Linked DNA regions of Saccharomyces cerevisiae S288C. Changing the gene in region 2 together with the main gene of any one other region gives a genetic interaction. Each region holds a gene or a part of one and is shown on either strand. Other genes may lie near its edges.

Region 1 (3,383 bases), on a different chromosome or scaffold from region 2:
CAAAAATTCTGGAGGATGATCTACGTATTCGTGATAAATGGCCATATTGCCAGGGTCGAATAATAGATCTGTATAAGCACAATGCGAGAATAGAGTTAGAGCAGCAGAAGGAATTGAAGATTAAAAAGAGGAGACCTGGTCAAAAGCAACGTGCAGCCAAAAAACTGGCACTTGAAAGAACCAAGGAGCGTGATACCAAAGCTCGTGAGATAAAGAAACAGTTGAAGAAAAAGTTTCATAAGCGTGGTGGAAAGAAAAACAAAAAAAAGGTACCTTTGAACCCACTGGCAAAAGCTGGCAGTACCCCTAAGTTTAGGACAGAATGACCACGTAAATGTATATATATACATATTAATACTTCATATAAACTAACCGATATTGGATTTCTCATAATAACTATTACTAGTATAATCTTTAATAATATAAACAAATATTACATTTCATGTAATTTTTATTAAACATATGCACATGCTATTGAAAATTGCTTTAGATTCATCCTATTTCATCAACATTCTTAATTTTATGTAAACTGTCTCACTTATTTAGAGAAATAGATACTGAGTTTAGCATTACATCCAAGTAGCTTTGGTAATCACTATTATCAGAAGATTTTTTCATACTTTGCTTCATAGTGTTTATAATAAAATCTTTATTTTTTAACAGCGACTTGCCCACAGGGCCTCCTCTATTAACAGATATATCAAAGTCCTTTTTGAAGGCAGATGAAACTTTGCTCCAAAACAGATCTCTCGGTGTACCAGAACCTGCTTTACTCTTCATTGAGGTATATTCTGATAAAAGATTGCCAAGGCGTGATTTATTAGCAGCAATAGATCTCGAGGAATTCGTAACATTATCCGTTTTGATGTTCTGTAGTAGTGTTTCTAAAATGTAGATGTTATAACCTTTTTCAACAACTTCATTGAACGCATCAGGAAACATCCTGATAGAATTTAAAATTTTTGATAGGATTTGTGAGCTCATTGTAACATTAGATAGTACAATCTTGTTTATTGCAGACTCGAATTCTTGAGATGAAAGTAGATATAAGGAGTAGGCCAGCTGAGATATTATTTCTTTGTTCGATTTGATTTTAATAGAGTTCAAGCACTCTTTACACATTTGTAAAGACAAAAATGTTATTAACTCTCTTTTGTTGGGGGAAACAATGTCCTGATCTAATTGTTTAATTTTCCGCAAGGATTTTAGATTTTTATTTTCTTCCAAAGTAATTTCAAGTTGGTAGTGTAAGGAGGCTAAATTAATAGCTGTTGATGTGCTTAGTTGGGCTGTTTTAGACAGTGCGTTTAATTTGTTTGATAAATGAATATAAAGCAATGCTCCGCGCAAGAGAAAAGATGTTTGGTAAACTTTACTCAACGCTAGTTGGACTTTCCTCGCTCTTTCATAAGGATCTAGAACTTGATTCTTTAGTCTATCGTACGACATATTCATATATCCCAAACTTGGTTTCAACTCACCAACTATGGTTGAATTGACGTGTTCATTTTTGTAAATTAACTCTATTATCTCCAATGGGTTGCTATTCATCAATTGGTCTATTCTAGAGTCAATCTCATGTAGATCATAGTTTAGCTTTTTAAGAGGCGTGTTAAGGTCTAAAATGGTTGTGTCATTGTTATTAGTAGCCTTCAGTAAGTCATTACCAAATTGTTTAGCATCAAAATCAGGCTCCAGCAGAGACTCAAAATCTTCTAAATCGTTTGCCATTGGCGCTATTGTCATACCTCCAGCTCTTTTCTTCTTTTTTGTTACACATTTTTATCTTCCATATCTATTCTAGTTGATTTTTTTTTTTTCATAGTATTCAACCAAATGGAGAAGTTTTTAAGAAATACGTCTTTGAAAGGGAGGCATAGAATAACAAGGTAAACCCATTTATACAGGATTCCCTCATACTATATTAGCTTATTTCATTCCAGGGGGGTTCCCTTAAATATAAGAATAATAAGAATAATGATATAAAATTATATGTCTAACAAAAAATTACAAAATTTGAGTAAATAAATAAAGAAAAAATGTGAGAGTGGCAATCAGCCAATTTTATGTTTGATATGTTGGCATTGTATTGGGCGGATGCCCATGGATACACTTATAATGTAATAAGATATTCACTTTCGTACAGGTCACAGACTAGCTGAAAAAACCATGACAATCGTTAACCCCTATTGATTTCCTTTCAAAATTTCTGGCCTGTTCATTTAGATTGGACCTGAGAATAACCACCCCAAGGATTAGCATTCTTCGACTTCAAATATTCGTCACTCTTTAGCTGCCACTCCTTATTCATGGTCTTTGCGTCTTGGCCACCCGCCATCCTGACGACAGCAAAAAGTCCCACTGAAAATAGTAGGCCTGCAGCAACACCTTTGGCAATAAAACTGGAATCACCCTTATTCAATACAGGTCTTCTTGGGCCCCATTCTCCGTAAGAAATGTACCACACAGCTTGCTTTTCAGGCTCAGTAAGCTGTGCCCATGGTAATTTTTGACGTTCACTCAACTTACTGACAATATCCTGCTGCTCAGTGGAGGGCATGTTCTCCCATCTGGATTGCAGATCCATTACAGCAGCGTTGGAAAGAGCATGTGTTTGAGCGAATCTTACGGATGTAATACGTGATAGTCCACCAGCTCTAGTAAAAGTGTTACGTAACATTGTAGATGCGTTCTTAGTTGATCTTGTGTTTGGTGCATTGCTTGCAAACAGAAGACAAAATACGAGGACTGATGGTTCTTATTTAATTGATTGTTCTTTTTAACTTTTCGCCGCCGCTTGTATCGGCGCAAAACGTAGGGCCAATCACAAACGAGGAAAACGTCTATTGGACGATTTTTGCAATGTGACACTTACAATGATGAATAATTACTATGTAGGCAGAAGTGCTAAGTACATTCTATTTAGAAGCGTAGGGAGGCGGTCTGCCTGCAGATCTGATAGTCATAAAGATTCTTTTGGGAGATGCTGTCCCTTAAGGAAGAAACATCATCTGTTCCGGGGCAGTAGATATTGATTCGTTGTCCACAGAAGCTTCCAGTGAATCTGCGGGTTGAGACAAACTTTTACAGTGCTCATCATCTTCCCCGCGTTCTGTGGCCAGTGCGGTCCTTGCTCCAGTCAACGTAGCAGGAGTTCTTGGCGTTACTTCCGAAGAATTGACAGAACTGTCATTCGGCGACGATGATAGATTCGTTACCATGGGAAAACTTCTAAAGGACGCAGAAGAGTAGGACTTCGTAGTCGAGGAAACTTCGTTGTTTCCGATGTCATCTTCCTCAGGCATGTGAACAGTCTCTCCTTCTTCGCCCGGTGAGTTCTTGGACAACATGGTTCCCCATTCCATAAGTTGGAAGATGAGACC
Region 2 (3,382 bases):
CCTAAAATGGACCATCGTTTCACTTACTAGCCGTTGTTTACTAAGATATAGTTGTATACGGTGTGGAGGATGATAAGATCATTGGACCAATATAACTATATAAATGTCGGCACCAGTTTAATGGAACCTCGAATGCAATTACTGATAACGGAATGGATTAAGAAATGATTAGGTATGAGGTACTCTTATAGTATGTAGAATTTCTGATTTGCTTATGTGTTCATTTATTCTCGAGAAGAACCCTTAGTATATTCTGTGTCCTAATATTACAAAAAGTCAATGAGAGTCTAGGGACTATCAGATAACTTCACTGTGCTCATCTTGATTCCTGTTCTAACGACAGTAACACAGGATACGGTTAGTATTTTTTTGCCAACCTGATCTGTGAAAGAAAAATGTACCTGTCAATTCGGTTCTTTTTTGAGGCCGCTTTTTCGTATAGTCGTCATCGATTGGATATTCGTTTAAGAAATAACGTGCTTGTTCATCGATTTCATCTATGATTCCATTCCATGTGTATGTATATATACGTAGTTACATATAATAATATAAATAAAGATTTGAAATAAATATGTCGCAGAAAAGAACTTTGCTCAAGATTTCATTGCTCGTAATGTTGTTTTTCCTAGGTTGACAATTTTGGACGAGGCTGACCAATAATTATTCATATTTCATTTTGGACAATGGGGCATCGGGGCCTAAGTAGGTGCCAAAAACTTCGTCCCAAAACCAGGATGTGACGCCAAATCCCAGTTGGTAGTTTTTATAATGATGTTCCAGGTGATATTTTTTCAACTTACGCATGAAGGGAGGCAATTTAGAGTGGTGCAAGAAGAAATGACATTCGTCATAACAGACATAACCGAAAAGACCGCCAGCAAAACCAGCGTAAGCCCAATAAAGTGGCAGCAGAGCAAATACCAACTTGTAAAATGGAGCACAAAGGATGACGAACAGAGTAGGTGGCATAACTAAACGGTACTTGTCCATGGGCAAGTAATGATGGCAACCATGTAGTAGAAAATGTGTGGCGAATGCGATGTTACTTTCAGGTAACCAATCATCGAAATGAAATAGGAAACGGTGAAGACCGTATTCAATCAAAGTCCAAACAAAGACACCGACACAGAACAAGAAACATGCAAATAGCTGGTTCATGTTCTTCAAAGCAACACCCATGTGGTACACAACTACAGGCAACCAAGCAACTGGAACAACCCACCAAGCTGTTTTAGTTAATGGTTCCAAGAAATTACCAAATAGCGGGGCAGACCCCTTACCGTAATGTCTTGGTCTATGGATTTGGTCAACGTAAAAATCTTTCTTGAAATCACTACGCAGAATCTGCATCAGCAAAGGACGGTTCAGATCCAAAAATTTATGCTTTTTGTAGTCGTTACTGTAGTCCGTAGCAATACTTAGTTTCTCCTCGGCGGGCAACTCCTTTACAAAAGTAGTGGAGTCAAACTCAGTACCGTCAGCTGACAACTGCACTTCAACCTTATGGTTCTTGTTAGTCAACAATCTCGCTGCCTCTTCGTCAGTTGCCAAGTAACCAATCAAATATTCGTCCTCAAGGATTTCATACGCGGAGTCGCTGTGTTCATGCACATCTGAGTCTTTCATGATCTCAGTAATGTCCTTACCAGCATAGTCCAAGATGGACTCGTCACCACCAGGGTGTTCGCTCAAAAACCTGGTCACGTCATAAATCTTTCTGTTTTGATAAGTGACCCAGCAGTCATTGGCAGTATTGTGTTCTTGTACCGTCTTTTTTGAAAACAGTTCCAAAGTCTTGGAAGTATTAGTCGACATCTTCGTACTAGTTTTAGCTTACCACCGCTTTTAGTGCCTGCCACGATAACAATAGAAAAAAAAACTAATCAAAGACAATAGACACAATAGCTTCTACTATCTAATACCTCTGTTCTTATACGGTTCCAAATTGAAAAAAAAATTAACTGCGAAAAGATGTCACACGTCAGTAAATCCGCGCAAAACCCCGTTATATTTCCGACGTCGTGCGGTAGTTTCTGCGCGGAACGGCCCCGCGGAATAGGCACATTTTCTTCCGGCCGCAGAAAGCTCTCTTTATCAAAAGCAAGACTGTTTTCGGCTATTGTATTATGAGAAGTTTGGTGTTTGTCCAACTTTCCCTGTTGTCCTGGGAAATATTCTGTGGGGAACGTAGCTTTGTGAGCATGAAAGCTATCTTTTCGTGTATGTACGTGTGATGTGTATATGTCTATGTATGCAGCGCTGAAGCCTTTTCAGGGTTGTTGTTGTTGTTGTTGTTGTTGTTCTTTGTCGTGGGCTACCTGCTCCATGTACAGAGTGTGATTAACCAAGTTCAGATAAGCATACATGAAGTTACTTAGTAATACCTGCTCGCGCAGTCCCCTCTTCGAATTGCTCAATTTCAAGTGACTCAGCCGGTATATGGCCCTTTCGACGTTAATTGGTAGACGGTGGTCGAACATGATAACCGTAGACACTGTCAGCAAAGGCAGTGGGAACCCAAAGGCACTGTCTGTGAATTGAACCGGGGAGTTTGGTTTGTCAGGTTTTTTGACGTCTGCAAATGTAAGCTTTCTTGGGGGCAATATGGAGGTATGTTTCAATGGTGGTGCCGCTGGAGCCTGAGTTTGAGCTGAAGCTTCAACTGGGGCTGAAGTTTGGACTGGGGCTGAATTTTGGACTGGGGCTGAAGCTTGAACTGGGACTGAAGTTTGGACTTGTTCTTGAGCTGGAGCTTGTAGTTGAGCTTTTTGCTCATCGGTATTCTCCTTTTGGACGTGTTTGGAGTGTTGTTGGTTGGAAATTTCTGTCGTATTGCTCCTCTTCTTGTTCTTTTTCTTTGCCTCCTCTTCTTCTCTGTCTCTAGAGTTACTTTTGGTACTACTTACACTAACGGCCGGCTGTAGTTGGGGCAAGCTCTCGGAATCGCTTTCCTCTTTCTTTTCTATCTCTATTGCGCCTTCCAATTGTGGTTGTAATGGTATCTGCTGCTGCGGCTGAGAATCTTTAAGGGTTTTTACGCTTATTTTTTGGGAACCATGACGGCTGTGATGGTGACGGTGAGGACGAGGGCGATTGCGCAACACAATGGGTTCAACCGGCTCCCTTCCACTTTTGTTACCAAGCTTTTTGCTTTTCCTCACGCGAACGTGCACGGCATCGTTATTTGGTATTGATGGTGACGATGATGGTGACGACGAGGGTGATGATGATGCATCATGCTTGTGGTGTGGCTTTCTTCTGAATAGGTTCGCAAAAGTTTTCTCGATTTTCTGTCTTGTCTGTGATGTGGCGGTGGAAGTACTTGAATTGTTCATTTCTTCTTTATTTGACACCTCCGTCTTCTCACCGCCATTAAATAGAG

What was found. A genetic interaction does not mean that the proteins touch.
Region 1: mutations in SCS7 (region 2) and COG5 together harm fitness more than expected from each alone (negative genetic interaction), as found in Saccharomyces cerevisiae (5 studies listed by BioGRID).

Annotation. Positions count from the first base shown.
Region 1 is NC_001146.8:531,022-534,404, reverse strand, and holds COG5 (Golgi transport complex subunit COG5), read right to left. Parts: upstream 1,747-3,383; coding exon 535-1,746; downstream 1-534. Other genes in the region: YNL050C (uncharacterized protein), read left to right, coding at 1-326; COX5A (cytochrome c oxidase subunit Va), read right to left, coding at 2,219-2,680; tyrosine/serine/threonine protein phosphatase MSG5, read right to left, coding at 2,994-3,383. UniProt on the Saccharomyces cerevisiae protein: Acts as a component of the peripheral membrane COG complex that is involved in intra-Golgi protein trafficking.
Region 2 is NC_001145.3:808,963-812,344, forward strand, and holds SCS7 (fatty acid alpha-hydroxylase), read right to left. Parts: upstream 1,816-3,382; coding exon 661-1,815; downstream 1-660. Other genes in the region: YMR272W-B (uncharacterized protein), read left to right, coding at 2,127-2,234; ZDS1 (Zds1p), read right to left, coding at 2,271-3,382. UniProt on the Saccharomyces cerevisiae protein: Ceramide hydroxylase involved in the hydroxylation of sphingolipid-associated very long chain fatty acids. Postulated to hydroxylate the very long chain fatty acid of dihydroceramides and phytoceramides at C-2.